Linked DNA regions of Caenorhabditis elegans. The protein of the gene in region 1 interacts with the protein of each later gene in a pairwise test. Each region holds a gene or a part of one and is shown on either strand. Other genes may lie near its edges.

Region 1 (5,636 bases):
TGAATTCTATTCACATGGTCTTTACCCATGCTTCATATCTTATTGTTTTCTTACCCTGGTCACTTTGTGGCATTAATACTTTCTTTCAGCGTTCTATCAAACGTTTGTTCTCTTTGGAGCTAAGGCAAACCGCGCAACTTACGATTGAAGAATGGCTTCGAACCAAGAACTGGCTTGCGTCTACGCTGCTCTCATCCTTCAAGATGACGAGGTCGCCATCACCGGCGAGAAGATCGCTACCCTTCTCAAGGCCGCCAACGTCGAGTTCGAGCCATACTGGCCAGGACTCTTCGCCAAGGCTCTCGAGGGAGTTGATGTGAAGGTAAGGATTTCTCATAAGTATATTCAAGTTTCACCCCGATTGTTTTCAGAACCTCATCACTTCTGTCTCTTCCGGAGCCGGATCTGGACCAGCTCCAGCCGCCGCCGCTGCTGCTCCAGCTGCTGGAGGAGCCGCCCCAGCTGCCGAGACCAAGAAGAAGGAGGAGCCAAAGGAGGAATCCGATGACGACATGGGCTTCGGTCTCTTCGACTAAAGATCTTGTTATTTGTTTTCAATAAATCTGTTAACAACACCAAGAAAGTGTTTATGGCTTCAAAAGTGAAAAAAGGAGGTTATTTTGGCACTACTCGATTGTTCAGAACGTTTTGAATCCTTTGTATCCGGCTATATTGTCGACCAGGCGCTTTTGGTGGCAAGAAATAGTTGTCTTTCAGAATGATAGTTGGCTCTTCTTTAACACTGTTAGATTCCGGCGAAACAGGCTTCGTGCTTGTTTGTGAGATTCTGCAAAAACTGAAACAATCGGATTTCTCAAGTAAATTAATGTGACTCACTTTACAGGATCTCGTGGAGTTCCTGTTTCAGGCGTGCTCTGAATGATATCTGATGGTATTGTCGAGCTGGCAAGCGACATCGGCGGACTTTCTTCAATATGAACCGACGCGGACTTCGGATCCGATGGAGGATCAGGCGGGATCGGTGGTTGCACAGGTGGTTGGTTCCGAAGTTCCAGGCCAGCCACGTCGGCTTTCAAAGCATCGTGCTCCACTTTCATTTGCATCAGTCTCCGTTGTTCTTTGGCTTCTTCCTGACGGATCCTCAACGCCAACTCGGCGGTTTTAACACCCTCGGATAATTCCACATAGTGCTCAGAAATCTGAAAAAAAGGAAAATTTTAAAAATTCTAGAAAATGAAATGGGAATCCTACAGAATCGATGAATCTGACAAACTGCTCCTGATACTCATTTCTATCCTTTTTCGCCCTCGCCATCACCGTCAATGTGGCACTTTTTATGTTATCAAGCTGAAAATCGGTGGAATTTTGAATTTCTACCTTGAAGCGCACTCACATATCCGTTATACTTGTTGAAATGCGAGAAAAGTACGATTTTGTGTTGTCCCGCCTGGATTTTAGTCTGTGAAAAGAGGTTTGCGTGATAGAGAAGGAACACTGGGGGATGAAGAAGACGGGGACAGTTTACGGGAAATTATTTAAGTCACTCAAAGTCACTCACTTCATTCGAAATTTCCACGTCATCAAATTCTCGATTGTTCTGATTGTTGAGGAGCAGAAAAATTGGCTTTTTCTGCACATGTGGATTGCTGGTTAGGGAGTGGAGAGCCTGGAGAATGATAATTTTTTAAAAGTAATTTATTACCGAGACTTGAAATTTTGACCGAAAATACGGTATCCGGTCTCGACACGACAAATTTCTGTGAAATGCGAAAAGGTGTGCGCCTTTAAAGATTACTGTGGTTTTAAACGTTCTTTGCCCGATTTTTCATAGTTTTTCGAAAATATATGTGGTTTTAATTGTTTTATCACGAATTTCTGGCTTCCCTAGGAATTAATGGAATTTCCTCATAAATTGAAATGGAAGAGTTTGCCGAACTAGGCCAGTTTGGCTCGGCCATATCTGGGGTGGATCTACGGCGCGTTGCGTGTCGCATCGCGGCTCGGTTTTAGTTGTAAAACTACCGTATTTTTTCTATTAATATAGCTGCAATACTATTTTTCGATGGTCTTCCCGCTTGCAATACTAATAGGGAGTGCAAGACTATTAGGGAGTGCAATATTACACTCAAGATAAGAAAACTGCGTGGCGTGTACTGCAGAAAACCTCATATTTAGGCCCCGCCTTTTTCACTAATAGGGAGTGCAATACTAATTTTCGGAGGGTGTTCAAGGAGCAATACTAATAGGGAGTGCAAGTCTAATAGGGAGGCCATATTAATAGAAGAAATACGGTAAATGAAATTACTGTACTTTTGCCTAAAAATTTTTAAAGGAGCACACCCGTTTTAGTTTTTTGCAAAAAGTTGTCGTGTCGAGACCGGATAGCGTATTTTGAGCCTAAAAATCTTATTTCATAACTTTTAGGAATAATTCATAATCCTTATCAATTTCGTAACTTCTCTCACCTCAATCGACTCGGTGAATGTCTCATCCGTTGAATAATCAATCACATAGATGATTCCGTGAACCTTAATTTATTTAGAATAATTATAATAATCACGGTTTGATCTACAAAAATGCGGGAATTTTTCTCCCAAAAAAATGTGACGTCAAAACGCTCTTAACCATGCGAAATCAGTCCCGCATTTTTTGTAGATCCACGTGTAATAAGAGTTTTCAAAAATTCTCCAGTGTGAAAGTGCGCCCTATCGCATGCACACACACACACACACCTCAGCATAATAATTGCTCCAAATTCCACGTATTCCCTTATCCCCGCCAACATCGTAGATCGTCAAATGAAAAGTCTCATCATACTCCATTTTCACTGTGGAGAACCCGTTGGTACGGAGCAAATCCCGCGGATCTTCTGGATTAAATTCAAATTTTAAAATAATTTCGGATTGAGCGACGGAGCGCACTTGCTTACCTCCCTTGAGAACTTTCAAAAATGTGGTTTTTCCGGCGCTTCCGATGCCAAAACATCCGAGTTTGATTTCTCTGAAAAAAAACCTATTGGGTCTCGGCACGATCTATGGGAATTCATCAAACTAAAAATATTGCTCAGATGCGGAAACTTGCGGATTTGCGTCTCGACACGACAATTTTTGTAAATTGCAAAACGGTGTGCGCCTTTAAAGAGTACTGTAATTTCTGGGTTTCGTTGATGTGTAATTCTCATGTGGGAAAATTGCTTTAAAACACGCATATGGCGTCACAATGACCGAATATCATGATAAAAAAATTCAAAAATTTTTTCTAGATTTTATATGATTTTTTGAAAATTGAAAAAATCTCAGTTTTCCCCTAATTCCTATTTGAATTTCCGCCAATTGAACTTGTTCGATGGAGCGCACTTGCATTATTTTTATTTATTTATTTTATTTTTCTTATTTTTCGGCCTATTTTCTTCATTTTTTTGTGTTTTTTATCGGAAAATGCGAGAAATAAACTAGAAAAATGCAAAATGCTTGTTAAAAAGTAACTGAAAATGCCTAAAACTGTAAAATATACTAATTTCAGGCTTGTCGTCGGAAATCATAATTTTACAGTTTTACGCCTTTTCAATTATTTTTTAACAAACATTCTGCAATTACCTTGTTTTGTCATTTTAATTTCCATTAAAAACGCAAAAAAAAAGAAAATCAGTGGAGAATAAATAAAATAAATGAATAAAAATAATTTTTAATATATTTTCATGGCAAAAATCGATCGGAAAATATTAAAAATAGCTGAATTTTCGACTTTAAATATAATTTTTTTTCCAAAAAACCTCGAATAAGGAAACATTTTTGGATTTTCCGTTTTACATCTTCAAAATTTCATAAAAAATGCTTTCAAGCAAACGATTTTCATTTAAAAAAATAAGCCTAAGAATATCGAATTACCGTCTGATAATAGGTGTACGATGGCAACAACAGCAGAAAATAGTTTCGAACCACGACTTTTCGGTCATTTCTTCTCACTTTCTACGCATTTCCTTGCGGTAAAGTGTGTGGTGTCGAAATCGAGGAGATTAGTTACGCAAGAAGTTGCTCTCGGCTTTCACGAGCGGCGGTTGCCATAGTTACCAGAGCCCGAGAGAGCACAAGAATTGTGGAGAGAAGCCGCGGGGTGGGAGGAAGAGATGAGGTGAGGCGGCGGCCGAAGAAGACAATCAGAAACTGGCTCTGATAATGATTAGGTTGGCGAGCTGCCAAGTGATCATACATTTTTCAGGAGAAGGAGACAGAGGCATTCATTTTTTTGGGAAACCCATACGATGTTTTTTTAAATACGAATAAAATAAAACAAAAATGATCAAAAAAAAGTGAGAATTAATCAATCACATCTTCAATGGGTCCACTTTGGCGACCTTCTTTGCGTTTGCAGCAGCTGCAGCGGCTTCGGCTTCTTTCTTGGCTGCCGCTTTCTCCTGCTTGATACGCATGACGTCAGCGTCGCGATTCATGCGAGCATCCATCGATAGACCCTGGAATATTTATTTGCAACTGGATATATATATGTGATTTGGAAATTTGAAATGAAAACTTACAGCATTTCCGTCTTGTCCAGAGGCTCCCTGGCGCTTCTTTTGATCGGCCAGTTTCTTTTGGTTCTTCTCACGAGCCAGATCTCTTTGATTTCCACGAGTCATTTTTGTTGGAGTTGTGCTGCTCAAAAACTGTGTTTCTCGGATCACACCGGAGCGCCGTCAGCGATGGACAAAGCCGCCGTATACGAGGTTTTCTGGAAGAAAAAAACAAAGAATCGATAAGAAAGTGTCGTGAACGCAGACCGTCTCGGTGACATAAATGACCGAGATTAGGAAATGCGCGGGATAAATGAGAGACGTCAGAATGATAGACAGTCTGACTAGCGGACACGTGGAACTTTTTGAAGGAAAACTTGTGGAAGGAGGTGTAGTTTAGGAAATTCTCAAATTCTCGCAAAATAATCACATCACATGGACAAATAAAGAATGAGCTGTGAACTCAATTATACAATATGACAAAAATTAAATTTAAAAAGCAAACTTGAATCAAATGTTTCATCAAATTTTGAGAAATTAGTGAAGAAAAAGAGGAAAAACGGTGGAAAAAAGTAAAAATTGAGATTCGGCCACAACAAAACAGAAAAACAACAACAATTGAAAGGGGCTCCGATTACTTTTCCAGCGGATGGTAGTTGAGAAGCTTCTCGATGAGATCCACGTGAGCCAGAAGCATTCTTCGGCAACAGTAGCGACGAAGACCGAGCGCGTCGAGAGCATCTCCTGAGAGAAACGAGATTTTTTTCATTCAGTAAATCCGAGAATTTTAAAAACCTTCACTGTATTCCGACTGCAAGAATCCGAGATACGTCTCCCACTTGTCGCCGATGACTTTGCCGCATGTGAAGCATCTGATTGGGATAATCATCTTGTGATTTTGCTGAAATTTTCGAAAATTGAAGATGAAAACTGCACTTTTTCGAGATTTTTGGTGAAGTTTTGAACGAAACACTTTTGCCACAAGCTAATTGTAAAGTTTTTGAAGAGAAACTTCAAGAAAATCAAGTTAAATCACAAAAAATGGGGGCAGAAATTCTAGAAATTGAAAATTGTTCAAAATACGCAATGCGCGTGAAATATGGTGTTTTCAGTGCATTTGTCACAGCGGTGTTTGCACAGTTGTCGACCGTAGTTGCAGCAAAGA
Region 2 (3,591 bases), on another chromosome or scaffold:
ATTACCACAGGCTTCACATCAGCCAATGCTTGCCGCTGCTCACAATTTGCACAACGAACTGAAACAATGGAGTTCACAGGAGAACGATATTGTGGCGGCTGCGAAGAGAATGGCCATTCTGATGGCTAGACTATCACAGTTGGTTAGAGGTGAAGGTGGAACTAAGAAAGTAAGTTTTGTAGAGAAGAAGATAGTGATCTTAATGTTAAATTTAAAGGATCTCATCAATTGCTCCAAGGCAATCGCAGATTCTTCTGAAGAAGTTACCAGATTGGCAGTTCAACTTGCCAGACTTTGCACAGATATCAAGATGAGAACGGTGAGCATTTAGTTCATTCTATCTAAAGATTTAAAATTTATTTTCATTTTCAGGCACTCCTTCAAGTCTCAGAAAGAATTCCAACGATAGCTACACAATTGAAGGTCTTGTCAACAGTCAAGGCGACAATGCTCGGATCAGCCAGTGAGTTGGAAATTTATTTTTTCGTTGTTGAAATTATTTTAATTATTTTCAAATTTGATTTAAATTATCAGAACCCATTTCAGATGTCATCGGCCCATACGGTCAACCAGTCGAGGGTAAATAATTGATTTTCAAGAGTTTCGGAAACTAATTGTGTGATTGAATTTGAAGTTTTTGTCCCATTTTAATACAACTTAACAATTCTCGCGTGAATTTGAAAATTGAACGACAACATAAAACATCGAGTGCCTTAACCTTCCGATTCCCTTGATTCTCCTAATATTTCCGTTTTTCTACTCTTTAAAATAATTTTCTTGAATTTCAGGCAGCGAAGAAGATGATGAAGCAATGCAACAATTGGTGCATAATGCTCAAAACTTGATGCAATCTGTGAAGGATGTTGTCCGTGCTGCTGAAGCCGCCTCTATTAAAATCCGTACCAACTCGGGACTTCGTCTCCGTTGGCTCCGAAAGCCAATGTGGTCCAACTTCTAAATCCCCGTTCATTACCGATTCTCTTTCTTCTCAATCAATGTTTTGCATATTTTATGTATTTTTCTACTGCTTTGCTAGTCATTTAAATTTTTTGCATAATAATTTTTTTTCATTCTTAATAATGTTACTTTTCAGTTTGAAATTGCTCCAAATCTTCCACTCTCCTTTCCCCATGAATCCCTCGAAAAAGTGCCTTTTGCAACAAAAATACGTCTTTTCTACTCATTTACTGTCTACTGAAACTGCCTTTCGCTGGAATTATTCTTAAAAACTCCCCATATTTCCAATTTTTTCTTTCCAGTAGTTTTATCAGTAAATGGTCGTTTAATGTTTTTCAAAAGAAAAATTATCGAATTTGTGTAGAATGTAATTTTTATTTTTCAATTTCTTTTTTTTAGTCGCCTTTGTTTCTCCTTGAAATATTGAACAATATCGATTTTTTGTGAATAAAAACATTTAAACCACTAAAAAATTTCTTGATTTTGGTCTTAAACTACGAAAATGGAACACAAAATCTGAATATACACGAACTTCTTCGATAGGATCAAGAAAAATAGAAATAACATTTTCAGCATATTAAAAATAATTTTTTATAGTTTAATTTATTAAAATTTTTCATTGAATGTACTGATAACGAAACAAAATTCATCGAAATCGTGTCGCAGCATAAATAAAATTGTTCGTTGGAGAGGAGTTCACGACAGAGAGTGCGACAGGGCACGCTTTCTTGCGTCCAAGGGACAGCCAGTTGTACAGCTGCCAGGTCTCGCAGCGAAATTGATTTTAGGCCAGACGCAAGGAAATTTTTAGAGAGATTTTTCCTATTTCTCCTGTTCTCAACGCAAAATTTTTTAATTTTTTCATATTTTAATGAAATAACGATGTTAAATATCATTTTTGAGCGATAGTTGTGCTATGTAGTTAATCTGTTCCATTTTATGCTTACTCTCACTATTTTTATCATTACATTTTCGTGATTTCTCATTTTAAAGTTCAAAATTCCAGCTTGAGGTACACACTTGAAAAATGAGAGGACCAAAGAAGCATCTTAAGCGTCTCGCTGCTCCAAGCCATTGGATGCTCGACAAACTCGGAGGAGTCTTCGCTGTTCGTCCAAACCCAGGACCACACAAGCTCCGCGAGTCCCTTCCACTCAGCTTGTTCCTCCGTAACCGTCTGAAGTACGCTCTCAACTACACCGAGGCCAAGAAGATTCTCACCCAGAGAGTTGTCCGCGTCGACGGAAAGGTCAGAACCTGCCACAAGTTCCCAACCGGATTCATGGGTAATTATAATTTGTATTCTTTCTAGTTTTGTATTCGCGTTTTCAGATGTCGTTGCCATCGAGCGTACCAACGAGTATTTCCGTATGCTCTACGATACCAAGGGAAGATACGTCGTCCACAGAATCCAAGCTGCCGAGGCCGACTTCAAGCTCTGCAAGGTCAAGTCTGTCCGCACCGTCAACAAGGGAGTTCCAGTCCTCACCACCACTGACGGACGCACCATCCGCTACCCAGACCCACATGTCAAGGTTAACGACACCATTGTTTTCAACATCAGCACCCAGAAGATCACCGACTCCGTCAAGTTCGAGCCAGGAAATTTGGCCTACGTCACTGGAGGACGTAACGTTGGTCGTGTCGGAATTATCGGACATCGTGAGCGTCTCCCAGGAGCATCTGACATCATCCACATCAAGGATTCTGCTGGACACTCCTTCGCCACTCGGTAAGTTTGCCTAAAAGGCTAAAGGAGAATGAAGGTCGGGGGCCGCGAGGGTCGTAAAAGTCCGGCTAAGGTTGGTTGCTAATTCAAATTTTTCTTTTCAGTATCTCCAACGTCTTCGTCATTGGAAAGGGAAACAAGGCTCTCGTCTCCCTCCCAACTGGAGCTGGAATCCGTCTCTCAATCGCCGAAGAGCGTGACAAGCGTATGGCCCAGAAGCACTAAACTGTTGTTTTTGTTGAAAAATAAAATTGTTAATCTAAAAAACGACTTAATCTTCAAAAGGGAAATTGTTTTAGCAAACCTATCGCTTTGAGATATGAGACTAGTCTTAAAGTTTGCATTTTTGGATATGGGTCATCTTGATATTTGGAAGTCTTTGTCCGGTGTTCTCTGTGTTTATAAGCACTCGGGAATTTCCTCCGCTGGGTTGATCAAGCTGATTACTCGTAAGATCGCCGAATCTGTCTCTGATATTGAATCTACTTCTCGAATTCAACTTCCTCTGATCTCCATCCCAGTCATCGAAGCTCATGAAAAGTCAGGCGCTCTAGTAGTCGTCGGCCGGAATGAAGTGGCTGATTACAGGTAGTCGTAATTTAAAATATATCAAAGTTAGAGCAATAACTTGATTTTGGAAAATTTAACATATTTTAGCCAAAAATTTGGTTATTCACAAGATCTGCATAAAAACGAGAAGAATGTTCTGTTATTTTCAGATATCATCCACTTGTGTCTGGCAGATCAATCAGACAAGAGGACATTCAATTGGTAGACGTACTACCGTTGGCCACAAATAGTTCTGGAGTCTGCTGTAAGGTAGAATTAATAATTTTCAAAACAAATTGATATTTTCAGTGTTCGGTGTCAATGATGGTTGTGAAAGTATTCCAGAACTCATGTCA
Region 3 (5,043 bases), on another chromosome or scaffold:
AGTCCCAGAAATTTTGAAGCAGCCATCAGCACAGTCTCATTGTGTGCAATATGAAAAAGTAAACGGAAGGAAAAAAGAGTAAAAAGGACAAGATGAACAGTGCAAGTAACAAATTGTTGTGCGAGATCTCTGCGTAATGAGTTCATAGCATAAAAGAAAAGTGGTCTGGTCAAAGCGAACGAGTGCAAAGAAAACAAATAGTTACGACAAGAATACATAGAACCCCCAAACATTCATTGCAGAGATGTTCGGCAATGTCAAAATTCGGAAATGTTAAAATTGCCAACCTCTCAAGGTTTAATTATTTAATTTCAAAATATACGACTAGGCTTGTAAATTTTTGAAAATATTCAGAAAGTGTCAAAATCGTAGCTCAGTTTGGATGGAAAAAATTATTCGTTTAAGATTTGAGTTTTTGATTCGAAAAAATAGAATGCTATACCACTCAATTTATTATATATTATTTGACCTATCTATTTGTCTTATTTTCAATGAAAACTTTCTTCTATTAAAATCATACTAGAAAATATACAATTTGAGCATTCACTGGAAAATAAAGAAAAAAACCCTAAGAAAGTGATTGTATGTATAATAGTAACTTCCGAAGAATGATGCATTGATGCATAAAAACGACGGGACATTTTTATCGTGTTTCCCCCCAAAAAAAATTGTATGAAAGCAAATCCTGCGTCGTCAGTCGGCGTCACTTCAATAAATATATACGTACAAGCAGAAACCTCCCTCCCGACCAATATTGTTGACTATTCTTCACAACTTGTTGCTTTTTGCCCTCCTCTTTTCCCTATTTCTTTTCTATCAAGTACTATATTTCTATGTTTGTCGGGAAAAGAGCGCACGGTAATCTCTTGCTCATTTGTTTGTTTCTAAGATCATGGAGGCGCTGTGGTTGACACAGTGTGCAGACCATTCGATTTAATTTCCAATACTGTTTTTGTTTATTTCTTCGCTTATTGATAACTGACACAAGAACAAATAAGTACTCACCATCAAAATAGTAATCATCAAGGTCTTCACTCTCTGTCGATGTTCCAACTCTGCACTTAAATGTTTTCTCAATTTGAGTACATGTAAATTGTGAATGGACTATGTACTGTTTGCAGCGGAATTGATGTTGATTGAGATCTAAACGGGGCATTTTTGACGATCGTGGATCCTTACTCTGAAAATTACAAGCCATTATTTTTTGGGAAATTAATATTTTGGAATAGTTTTGAACACTTTTGTACGTTTTCATGTTTTCATTTTTTGCAGTTTTTGCTGTGTAAAACTTTGATATGAAACATGATCTGTTTAAGAGAAACTGTTGAGAAAATACAAGATTATACATTTTAGCTTTAAAAATTTCATGCAAAGCTGTGTAAAACACGGTGAAAAAATTTGAAAAAAAAACTGGCTGATGGGTGTTAATTCAAATAGAAATTGCCTACTTTTTTGCCAATTTATGTTTCAGTGACGATTTGAATGTTTTATTGGTTTTTAAATATGAAATGTTCTCTATAAGGAAAGTTACTAATAATTTTCCAACAATAAGAACTCTTTCAAAAATTATCTTGAAAACATATAACAACTGAAGTTTTATTTTTATTTTTTTGTTAAATCGTTATGTTTAGTAAAAACTTTACATTTTATTTTATTTTACAGTTTATTGGTTCTTCTTGGTTTTAGTTGGAAATATTATGTTTGAAATTCATAGAAAGTCGGTCATGTTTTACTTTTTCACTAACTTTTATTAATTTTTATGTCACTAAACTAACTGTTAGTTAAATTTGTAAGTTTTAAAACTCACTGGTAACAGAAGTGGCCTTTTTAACAGTTTGAGAGCCTCGGTTGCATTTGTCGTGTTGGAGGTTGACACGTCGATATTATAAGGTAATTCACTCTCTGTGGCTTTTTTACTAACATGCTGTTGCTTAGCACCTGTCCTCCCTATGAAAATTCTCTTCCTATGGTTACTCGTTGCATGCGTTGATTGCGGGGTCTTCTGATTAAAATCCGATGCGATATGAGACCTCTCATGCCTCTCTTCATCATCTGACTGCTCTCCAAATTTTTCTACCTCTTTTGTTGAAACTTTCGGTAGTTTTGTGTCAGTCCTGTCACTTAATTCTTTAGAAATATAAACTGAATTGTCATCAGGTTTCATTTTCACTGGTATTATCGTCACTTCTTTGCTCGTACTGGGCGGTAACTTTCTCAAATATTGCTGCACACTTTTGTTTGAACCATTTTTCGCAGTTAATTTTTTCTGCATTTCTTGGCGTGTTTTCATCAGTCTTAAAAAATATTCAGAATGCTTCGGTTTTTCCGTCATTCCTTTTTGTTCTGAAAAAATGAATAATAGAAACATTTTTTAACGTAATCGAACATACGATTTTGTGAAATGAATGTTGTTGGTTTACTTCTTGTACAAAGGTTTTGATTATCTGAAAAGTTAATTTTATCATATTTGAATTTTGTCTTTAAAAAAATACAAATCGTATCCATTAACACCTACTATATGATCTGGGTAAGCTGTAAATTGATGTTATCTCTCCAGGCAATGGGGTTGAAGTTCTTGGGTATTCATTTAGATCTGAAGTTGAAAAATTATAAGATAATTGACAAAAACACTTTACTTACCTTTGCTAGTGCATTTAAAATGATTATTGATTTCCAGATCGTCGAAACTTTCATCAGCCTGAGTATATATAATATTTAGCGTTTTATTCTTTTTTTTTAAAATTAATTAGAGTTATTGCTTCCTTATAAGCCAGAAATTTCTGAATCGGGAATGTACGCAATATGTCGTGGGGGTGTTTGCACAAGGATACTACTCAATAAGTGGTAACACTGCACATCTCACTGTGATTATCGGTTCTTATTAAAAGTGTAAAGACTTGTGTTAAGTGAAAACACCAAGTTATTAGAATAGCAAATATTGCATCGAAACGTTGAAATTTTACAAAAGTTTTGACACTTACCAAGATGGAGTCGGAAATTTTAAAGAATGGTGCTAACGATGCCATTCTTATGGAGTTAAACTGAAAAAATTAAGATTTGTGTTGTTAATTATAGAAAAAAGGACGAGAATTGAAATAAAGGATGAGTGAGGAAAAAAAAGCTTGATGGACGGAAAGTAAACAAAAACTGATACACAAAAAGTTAAATAAACAAAAAGTGAATGAAAAGTTTAGTAAGTAAGTAAGTATTGTAGGTAAACGGGAACAGATGACTTTGTGGTTTTCAGACAAAACAAAACTTTTAAGGCGAGTTTTTTTAACCATTGAAATAATGAAACAATAATTTGATTTGGCTTTTTGAAATCTACCTAATTGTTGTCAATAATTAAAGTCAAGTTTAACTGACTTGCAATTTTGTTTTGGTTTGAACAATTGGCATAGTTTTAGAATGTATATTGTTAAGTGAGAACTTTCATTGAAAAACCATTTTCTCATCTCTGTAATCAAAACCAACTAATTTCATAAAAGTCATAAATTGAAGGTTATCATAATTATGAATTGATCAATTTTTGAAGCACCTTCGTGATAAAACTGACCACAAAAAAACTAAATGATATCGGCGTGTACACATGTGGTGTTAGGCCTAAAATCCGATATTTTCTTTCTTTTCGATAACTATGAGATCATTGTCGGCGGTAACGGGAAGGGTGACTAGGGGTCTTTTGCAACCTGGAATTGTGGGTGACCGGCATCGAGGATGACCGACATCGTGGGCGACCGTCGCCGTGTAAAAAAAAACGCACAAAAATGTGTTTGATGAATTGGGATTAAACATAAACTGATAAACAAATAAGCTATAACATTCGAACTACTTGGAGTATTTGAATTCGCAAATGGGAACACTACTTCTGTGCATTAAAGTAAAGTTTTCAGATAAATCAAACATTATCAACAACTGAAAACATTTTCGATTTAAAACTTTTAATGCTACTTAGCTATTAACCAAAATTTGAAAAAAATTTAACTTACTTGCCGGTCCTTGTAATTTGAAAATTAGATAGTGATGTTGAAAAATGTTCAACAGCTTTTATTTTGAAATGAAATAAAAATACTAATTCTAATAAAACAAGACATTAAAAGTTTTCAAAAAAATTTAAAGGATTGGAATCGGTCGTAATAAAATCGGTTGCATTCAAATTACAATGAGAAAACAACTTTTAGAATATATCGACAAGTACAGTTGGGTAGCCAGCATGCAAAACATCCAATACTTTCATTTTTCGATAACTATGAGATTACCGTCGACGGTAACGGGAAGGGTGACTAGGGATCCTTTGCTACCTGGCATCTTTGGTGACCGGCATCGTGGGTGACCATCGCCGGGTAAGAAAAACCTTAGAAAAGGTGCTTAAAGGTTGGATGGTAAACGTAAACTAACAAACAAGTATGCCGGGACATTAAACTAAAAACTATATTATTTGAACATAAGTTCGCCGATTTTTCAGGATATTAATAAAAAATCACATACCGGAAAAAAATTCAATCAGAATTTCTAAATGAGATTTAATTATCACCAATCACTCAAGAACCGATATTGAAACATGAGTATACTTTGTAAAAAATTTTGTTGCTCCCAATTGAGAATTAAAAAACAACAATATCGACAAATACAGTTGTGCTAGCAACAATACCTAAAAATCCAATACTTTCATTTTTTCGATAACTATTAGATCACCATCGGCGGTAACGGGAAGGGTGACCAGAGGTCTTTTGCGACCCAGCATCGTGGGTGACCGTCGCCGTGCAAGCTAGAGATGCGTTGCGGAGAAGAGAATTAGACAACGCCAGAGTTCAACACTACGAGACGAAACGACATCACTATTCAATTCTAAACTGTACGTACTAGCCACCTGCCTGGAGAACCCGTTGAAAATCGACTTGATCGATATTTGGTGAAAGGGTGAAAAGTAGGAGACACGAGAGGGGGAAAGATGTCAATGAGGACAGGGGAAACGTATTTTCGAGAAAGTTGACCTTATCGACCTTGAGCACAGATGGCTCGTAATAACAAACTGAGTGCAGC

Evidence for each region.
Region 2: the proteins of arl-13 (region 1) and rps-4 interact in a two-hybrid assay, tested with the Caenorhabditis elegans proteins (one study listed by BioGRID).
Region 3: the proteins of arl-13 (region 1) and dim-1 interact in a two-hybrid assay, tested with the Caenorhabditis elegans proteins (one study listed by BioGRID).

The regions. Positions count from the first base shown.
Region 1 is NC_003279.8:2,064,029-2,069,664, reverse strand, and holds arl-13 (ADP-ribosylation factor-like protein 13B), read right to left. Parts: upstream 3,948-5,636; 5' UTR 3,917-3,947; coding exon 3,849-3,916; intron 2,962-3,848; coding exon 2,891-2,961; intron 2,831-2,890; coding exon 2,694-2,830; intron 2,490-2,693; coding exon 2,427-2,489; intron 1,628-2,426; coding exon 1,520-1,627; intron 1,421-1,519; coding exon 1,355-1,420; intron 1,309-1,354; coding exon 1,213-1,308; intron 1,161-1,212; coding exon 838-1,160; exon of another isoform or gene 797-837; coding exon 616-796; 3' UTR 571-615; downstream 1-570. Other genes in the region: rplp-1 (Large ribosomal subunit protein P1), read left to right, coding at 152-322, 372-536; moag-4 (Modifier of protein aggregation 4), read right to left, coding at 4,286-4,432, 4,496-4,597; rpb-10 (DNA-directed RNA polymerases I, II, and III subunit RPABC5), read right to left, coding at 5,106-5,215, 5,267-5,360. UniProt on the Caenorhabditis elegans protein: Cilium-specific protein required to control the microtubule-based, ciliary axoneme structure. Required for normal sensory cilium function. May act by maintaining the association between IFT subcomplexes A and B.
Region 2 is NC_003282.8:7,083,055-7,086,645, reverse strand, and holds rps-4 (Small ribosomal subunit protein eS4), read left to right. Parts: upstream 1-1,963; 5' UTR 1,964-1,984; coding exon 1,985-2,243; intron 2,244-2,289; coding exon 2,290-2,689; intron 2,690-2,715; exon of another isoform or gene 2,716-2,774; intron 2,775-2,790; coding exon 2,791-2,911; 3' UTR 2,912-2,950; downstream 2,951-3,591. Other genes in the region: deb-1 (Vinculin), read left to right, coding at 1-169, 218-319, 373-463, 547-579, 789-958; Y43B11AR.3 (TruB_N domain-containing protein), read left to right, coding at 3,039-3,274, 3,406-3,500, 3,545-3,591.
Region 3 is NC_003284.9:8,055,187-8,060,229, forward strand, and holds the start of dim-1 (Disorganized muscle protein 1), read right to left. Parts: upstream 3,035-5,043; 5' UTR 3,027-3,034; coding exon 2,982-3,026; intron 2,699-2,981; coding exon 2,641-2,698; intron 2,594-2,640; coding exon 2,516-2,593; intron 2,445-2,515; coding exon 2,391-2,444; intron 2,344-2,390; coding exon 1,808-2,343; intron 1,181-1,807; coding exon 1,006-1,180; intron 1-1,005.